2 linked regions of the Macaca mulatta genome follow. The protein of the gene in region 2 purifies or fractionates together with the protein of the main gene of each other region. This does not show direct contact. Links are inferred from orthologs where the notes say so. Each region holds a gene or a part of one and is shown on either strand. Other genes may lie near its edges.

What was found.
Region 1: the proteins of STK35 (region 2) and C1H1orf174 purify together in Homo sapiens (affinity purification with mass spectrometry; 3 studies listed by BioGRID and IntAct, counting the BioPlex papers as one, with this or other methods). This does not show direct contact. The link is inferred for Macaca mulatta from reciprocal best matches to the Homo sapiens genes STK35 and C1orf174.

Annotation. Positions count from the first base shown.
Region 1 is NC_133406.1:236,858,814-236,863,107, reverse strand, and holds the start of C1H1orf174 (UPF0688 protein C1orf174 homolog), read right to left. Parts: upstream 2,974-4,294; 5' UTR 2,887-2,973; coding exon 2,872-2,886; intron 1-2,871.
Region 2 is NC_133415.1:81,970,110-81,973,824, reverse strand, and holds part of STK35 (serine/threonine-protein kinase 35), read left to right. Parts: intron 1-2,395; coding exon 2,396-3,108; 3' UTR 3,109-3,145; intron 3,146-3,715.

The DNA of each region.
Region 1 (4,294 bases), on a different chromosome or scaffold from region 2:
GGTGTAATCTTGGCTCACTTCAAGTTCCGCCTCCTGGGTTCACGCCATTCTCCTGCCTCAGCCTCCTGAGTAGCTGGGACTACAGGTGTATACCACCACGCCTGGATACTTTTTTGTATTTTTAGTAGAGACGGGGTTTCACCACGTTAGCCAGGATGGTCTTGATCTCCTGACCTTGTGATCTGCCTGCCTCGGCCTCCCAAAGTGCTGGGATTACAGGTGTGAGCCACCGTACCTGACCCCATATCCAGGAATCTTAATGAACTGAACTCCAAATAGGATACATGCAAAGAGATCCACAGACACATCACTGTAAAAATACAAAGATCAAAGGTAAAATCTTGAAAGCCACAAGAGAACAAAATCTTGAAAGCCACAAGAAGAAAGCCACTTAGAAGGGAACCTCAATAAATGAACCACTGACTGAAACAATGGAGAATATTCAAACATATTCAAAGTACTCAAACAAACCTGTTAACCAAGAATCCTATATCCAGCAAAGCTATACTTAAAAAATGGGCTGGGCATGGTGGCTTATGCCTGTAATCCCAGCACTTTGGGAGGCTGAGGTGGTGGATCACCTGAGGTCAGGAGTTTTAGACCAGCCTGGTCAACATGGTGAAACCCCATCTCCAGTAAAAATACAAAAATTAGCCAGGTGTAGGGGCGGGCTCCTGTAATCCCAGCAGTTCCAGAGGCTGAGGTGAGAATCACTTGAACCTGGGAGGTGGAGGCTGCAGTTGGCTGAGATCACATCTCTGCACTCCAGCCTGGGCAACAGAGCGAGACTCTGGTCTCAAAACAAAAAAACAAAATAAAAACTCACTTTACAAGAAATACTAAAAGAAGTTCGTCAGGCTGAAAGCAAGTGACCCCAGACAGTAATTCAAACCCACACACGCCCACACAAACAGCACCAGTAAAGGTAATTATGTTCTTTTTTTTTTTTTTTTTTTTTTTTTTTGAGACGGAGTCTCACGCTGTTGCCCAGGCTGGAGTGCAGTGGCGCGATCTTGGCTCACTGCAAGCTCTGCCTCCCGGGTTCCCGCCATTCTCCTGCCTCAGTCTCCTGAGTAGCTGGGACTACAGGCGCCCGCCACCGCGCCCGGCTAATTTTTTGTATTTTTAGTAGAGATGGGGTTTCACTGTGGTCTCGATCTCCTGACCTTGTGATCCGCCCGCCTCGGCCTCCCAAAGTGCTGGGATTACAGGCTTGAGCCACCGCGCCCGGCCTATGTTCTTATAAAGATAGTTTGATTGCCTATTTTTCTACCTCCTTCTCATAATTTTAAAAAGCAATTGTATACAATAACATGTATGTAATATATACAGACGTGTACTATATTTGCCAATAACAAAACAAAGAAAGTGGGTGAAGGCAAAGCCCTACTGGTTGAGGAAATGACCACAGACAGAAAGTAATAATGATCACACTGTATTGTTGAGTTTGTAACATTATCAGATGTAATACATATAACAAAATACCACAAAAATAACCTATAACGGTAACTTTTCCTTATCACTTGGAATTAACCTAGTACAAATCTGAAGCTTAAGATGTATATGGAGAGTATGAAGATTAAGATGTATACGGTAAAACACAGAGCAAGCACTGGAAAAAACTCAAGAAATGTAGTAAAAAAATCACTAAATTAAAATGCTACATTAGAAAATATTCACTTTAATCCACTTAAAGAAGGAATAGGGGAAGAAAAAGACAGACTTGTATAAAGTAAAGAAAAAGTAAAATAGCATATGTAAACCTAACTACAGTATATCAATAATATTAAATGTGCACGGGCTAAACAATTCAATCAAAAGGCAGAAACTACCAGACTGGGTTTTAAAAAAGATCCAAATGTATGCTGCCTAGTTTTGGTTCAAAGATTAAAAATAGTAAAAGGAGTTGGAATTCACAAGTGGTCACTCCATTTGAACAAACCAGGAGAAAGCCTCCAAGCAGCTCAGAACCTCCCAGGTGGACCTGGACCCGCGCCAAGTGCACTGTGAAAAGGGTCTTTCACCTTTAACTGTTACACCCACGCGGTAAGCACTTGCCCCTTGCCAGACACTGGCACCCCCCTTCAATCCTCACCACCCTCTGGGTGGATCCCACATCACCCCACTTTTAGCACATTAAGTACATGGGGCCAACCGAGTGGCAGCAGTTGAGGGGCACAAACTCAGCTCCGCAGCATCCAGCACTACCAGGAGTTGAAACCAGTTCTGGAGAGGGCACCCCACCTTCCTGGGAAAGTGGCCTGAAATCTCCCTTCAAGGGGGCGTGGCCTGGGAGGCCCCCTTCTCCCCGGGACGTGACCTGTGAGCTCCACTTCTCCCGAGGGCGTGGACCGGAGCCCCCTTCTCCCGGCAGCGTGGCCTGGGAGCTCCCCTTCTCCTGGGGGCATGGCCCGGAGCCCCCCTTCTGCGGGGGGCGATAACCTGGGAGGCCCCTTTTCCCGGGGACGTGACCTCTGAGCTCCATTTCTCCCTAAGGCGTGGCCCGGGGTCCCCATTCTCCCCGGTGCGTGGCCTGGGAGCTCCCCTTCTCCTGGGGGTGTGGCCTGGGAGCGCCCCTTCTCGCGGGGGCGTGGCCCGGATTCCCCCTTTCCCAGGGGCGTGACCTGGGAGCCCTCCTTCTCCCGGGACCCTGCCCTGGAGCCCCTCCCTTCTCCCAGGGGCGTGGTCTGGGAGCGCCCCTTCTCCCGGGAGCGTGGCCTGGAGCCCCCCGCTTCTCCCGGGGGCGAGGCCCAAGCGGAGGCCGTTTCTAGGTCACAGGCACCCCGTGACCCCGCCCCGGCTCTCCAGACAGCAGGTGGCCCGGAGTCCCCGCCCTGTCCAGCGCAGCTGTTGCCGAGCACCAGCCCTCACCTTTCGGCTCCTCATGAGTGTGAGCGCCGCAGCCAAGAACCGCGCGCCCCGGACCAACGCGTCCCGGCGGAGCGGCGACCCGGAGTCTGCAGAGCGCGCCGCGGCGGCGTCCGACGTCAGCAGAGCCAATCACAGCGCAGCGCCCTCGTCATGTGACCCCACAGTGTTGGCCTTTACGTAAGTGACGGGCGCAGCTCGCGGGCTACGGGCCAGTGCTGGGACACTGGAGCAGTAAGTCGTCCTGTGGCAGGCCATGTTCGTGAGGGCGCGTCCCTTGGCAACCCTGTAGCCGCTATGTTTCCCACGCCCATGGCAGGCCTGGGAGGTTATGTTTGCGGGGGGTGCTTTTTTTGTAGCTTCTGTGTTTGCCATATTTGAAAGGGGCGGACGACCATGTTCGTGAACGGCGCTTCCCTTGGTGCACCTGTGGCCGCCATGTTTTGAGAGGGGTGGGCCACAATGTTCTTTAGGGGCACTTGCGTTGAAGCTTCTTTGGCCATCATGTTTGAGAGGGGCGGACGGCCATGTTTGTAAGGGGCGCTTCTCTTGGTGGGCCTATGGCCGCTATGTTTGAGAGGGGCAGGCAACTATGTTCGTGAGGGTTGCTTCCCTTGAAGCCTCTGTGGCCGCCATGTTTGAGAGCGGCGGACGGCCATGTTTGTGAGGGGCTCTTCCCTGGTGCGCCTGTGGCCGCCATGTTTGAGAGGGGCGGGCGGGGCGTCCGTGAGGGGCGCCTCCCCTGGCAGTCCCTGGCCAAGAGCCTGTAGGAGGGCGGGAAGTGCTTTCTCCAGTGCCGCAGAGCGCTGGTTTCTGAGCGCCGGTTAGCGGCGTTGAGCAGCGCGAGGGACCCCTAGGCCTGCCCTTGCTACGGTCCCGCTGAGGAAGTTTGCGCGCTTGTCGCAGGCTGGGCTGCCCTGCGAGGTGCCGCTTTGGGTTGGGGTGGCCTCTGCTGTCCCCCACGTCGCGGGCGGGATCGGGCCTCAGTGGAGGCCGTCCGTGGGCCCAGGAGGCCAGGGTCCGGCGTCAGGCTGGGGGTCAGGTTCTCACCCCCTGTCACGTGCAAGGCGGGAACTGACCCCTCCGCTGTCCGATTACTCTCCGGGGCAAAAGTGGATTCGCAGCGGCTACGCCTCCTCTGGTGGCCACGCCCCTAGCGCGCTTGGGTGGACCCGCAGCGGCCACGCCTCCTCCAATGGCCACGCCCTATCAGGTCTGGGTGGACACACAGCGGCCACGCCTCTTCCAATGGCCACGCCCTATCAGGTCTGGGTGGACCCGCAGCGGCCACGCCTCCTCCAGTGACCACGCCCTATCAGGTCTGGGTGGACACACAGCGGCCACGCCTCCAGCAGACACTGCCTTAGCAGGCCTGAGCTGCTGTGATGCGTCCTCCTCGGCCGCTGCTTGACATCCTGGCCTTCAC
Region 2 (3,715 bases):
CTGTCCAGAATTTTCCTCTCAACAAACAGCCCCTCCTGTAGCATCTCCTGAGTCTAGCTCCTTCCTCAGAACAGCTCCTCAGTCCGAGGGTCCAATCTCCCCCAACCACTCACAAACTTTGGGGTCTTTTTTTTTTTTTTTACCGTTTTTTCTTTCCCTGGATTCTCATAACCTGGACTTAGATTATAGTCTGTTTTGCAGACTTGTTTTCTTTTTCCTTAGGTTGCCATAGTTACTAACTTTGTATATAAAATAATCATCATTCCTCTTTATTCTCCCACCAGAAGTTTCAGTGTTTTCTGATGTGACCTTTGCAAAGGGAACTGGATGGCTTTTTAATCTTTTCCTTTCTGGTTCTACCTCTAGTACACATTTCTTGCTCTCCTTTTTGTGGGTCGTTAGCATCTAGCTTGACTTGCGCTTCAGATTGATGCTTCATTGTGCAGTATTTTTACATAGAGGGCCTCTGCCCATGACCTAGATAGAGGATTATGAGAGGGGAAATAACTGATTTGAAAAGAACAAAAAACATCTGCCCTAAACTGGTTCTACCTGTGTTACTTTGATTGTGAGTAATATAAGCAAATAAATTATATAATTACAAGGGAAGTGAGGTCTATCCGATTGTGATAGAAAACCTAAAGCTTTTGCTTTTTTTTTTTTTTTTTTTTTTTTGAGACAGAGTCTCACTCTGTCGCCCAGGATGGAGTACAGTGGCCGGATCTCAGCTCACTGCAAGCTCCACCTCCCGGGTTTACGCCATTCTCCTGCCTCAGCCTCCCGAGTAGCTGGGACTACAGGTGCCCGCCACCTCGCCCGGCTAGTTTTTTTTTTGTATTTTTTAGTAGAGACGAGGTTTCACCGTGTTAGCCAGGATGGTCTCGATCTCCTGACCTCGTGATCCACGTGTCTCGGCCTCCCAAAGTGCTGGGATTACAGGCTTGAGCCACCGCGCCGGGCCCAAGCTTTTGTTTTTTACGTCACATCGTCTTGGTCCAACCCAGAACTCAGACCACTGGCTTTAGTAGACTGTGTGCCTTGGTAATTTCAGGGCTGTTTGGGTTAGCAGAGTCTCACCCAGATCACTGCTTTTCATTATAATAGAGTAAATAACCAGTAAAAGGAACCCTCTGCCAGCAGCTATCTGAGGAGGTGCAGTCATTTTTGGTAGGATGGATGCTCCATACTGGGGCCAGAGAGAGGGTTTCTCTTCAGGTCCTGGCTCAGTTACAAACGACCTTGTGACCACCCAGAGCAAGGCAGCACATTTGCAGGCCCAGCCTCTCCTCATCAGTGAGATAAAACATCTGCCTTCTTAGACTTAGCTTCGGGAGCAGTTGTAGTCATCAAACAACATCCACATAAAGATTCACTGGACTGTCAATTGCTTTATAAAGAATATTGAGATTTGCTTGGAGAGGTTGGTTACCAGCTTTCCTAGAGTTTCAAGCCCACACAATTTAAATCTTATCTTATACATCGACTTTAGACTCTGCTGTTCCCACCAGTCTTCCTATTTACACCTTTCTGGTCTTTTTGTCCCTGTGTTCCATCATCCATTCCATCTTTCAGCCTAGAATTACCTTCCTGCTCCCCCACTGATCTACTGCCTGCCTTTTTACAGGGTAAGTTCAGTCCTGCCCCCTCTGACACCTTTAGATCTGGCGGCTCCTGCCCCCACTTCACTGTTTGTAGGTGTTGACCCTGATGGAGATGTACAGCTTTTGATGGTTGCTGCTGTGTATACCTGTCATCTCCTTGAAACTAAGCCTCATAGAGACAGGGCATGTTATGTAGCTAACTTGCGCTAGGCATATGATGGGCTCGCAGAAAATATTGATGGATCGGAGTGTGCCTCTGAAGTAAACCAAGGAAATTGTAGGAGCGTGCCTCTGAAATAAAGGAAATGGTAGTGCCATTCTAGGTACATTAACAAGAATCCTTCTGTAAGTCAGGAAAAAAAAGAGGGAAGGTCATTTGCTCAGCATGGAGTAACAATGATATTAGAAGCAACAGACTCGTGACAGCCTTCTTGCATGCTTTTCCTTGTCCCATCTGCCCAGCAGCCTTGGGAGGTGTGGGTGGTATGGCAGTGCCTGTTTGGAGACAGTATAATGAAACAAAAAGGCTTTGCGGTCCGCCAGACAGCAGTAAAACCTGAGTTTCCACCTGGGCCTCATTCCAAACCCAGGTGCCTGACACCAGTCCCTGGTGCCCATGTCATACCTTGATTTGTTCTGTGTGAGTAGAAAGGGACTCAGTGCCAGTTTTGCGGGTCCCCTTGGAGCAGTTGTTTGTCACCAATGTCACTCTTGAATACACTGCGTCCTTTAGTTCAAAAGAAGTGTGACTATGTTCATCTCACTCAAGCGCCTTCCTGTCTTCTTTGATTTAGGAGAAAGGATCCTGGGTTATGCTGAGGAGCCCTGCTATCTCTGGTTTGTCATGGAGTTCTGTGAAGGTGGAGACCTGAATCAGTATGTCCTGTCCCGGAGGCCGGACCCAGCCACCAACAAAAGTTTCATGCTACAGCTCACGAGCGCCATTGCCTTCCTGCACAAAAACCATATTGTGCACAGGGACCTGAAGCCAGACAACATCCTCATCACAGAGCGGTCTGGCACCCCCATCCTCAAAGTGGCCGACTTTGGACTAAGCAAGGTCTGTGCTGGGCTGGCACCCCGAGGCAAAGAGGGCAATCAAGACAACAAAAATGTGAATGTGAATAAGTACTGGCTGTCCTCAGCCTGCGGCTCGGACTTCTACATGGCTCCTGAAGTCTGGGAGGGACACTACACAGCCAAGGCGGACATCTTTGCCCTGGGCATTATCATCTGGGCAATGATAGAAAGAATCACTTTTATTGACTCTGAGACCAAGAAGGAGCTCCTGGGGACCTACATTAAACAGGGGACTGAGATCGTCCCTGTTGGTGAGGCGCTGCTAGAAAACCCAAAGATGGAGTTGCACATCCCCCAAAAACGCAGGACTTCCATGTCTGAGGGGATCAAGCAGCTCTTGAAAGATATGTTAGCTGCTAACCCACAGGACCGGCCTGATGCCTTTGAACTTGAAACCAGAATGGACCAGGTCACATGTGCTGCTTAAAATTCAGGGCTAAGCATTTTGGGTGATTTTAAACTAGGTGAGTGCTTTCTGTTGTTGTTTTTTTGTTTTTGTTTTGAAACAGGGTCTCACTCTGTCTATCAGACTGGAGCGCAGTGGGTGCAGTGGCAGGATCTCGGCTCACTGCAACCTCTACCTCCCGAGTTCAAGTGAATCTCGTGCCTCAGCCACCCGGGTAGCTGAGATTACAGGCATCTGCCATCATGCCCAGCTAATTTTTGTATTTTTAATAGAGAAGGAGTTTCACCATGTTGACCAGGCTGGTCTCGAACTTTTGACCTCAAGCGATCTGCCAGTCTCAGCCTCCCAAAGTGCTGGGATTACAGGCGTGAGCCACCTTGCCCAGCCTCCCTTTTTTTCCTGTGTGCCCGCTTCTTGTACTGGGTTCTTCATTCTGGACCCTAGGATGGGCCCTGTGAAGTTGGGGGGGACTACAAAGTTGAAGAAAACTAAGTGCTTCTTATCAAAGATTCCCCCCCATGTCTTGATGGGAGAAATGTGCAATTATCTGAGTACAAGTTGAAAAGTCTAGAGAAGTCTTCTGAGAGGAGGTTGCGTTTAAGCTGAATCTCCCTTTTTTAAGAAACAC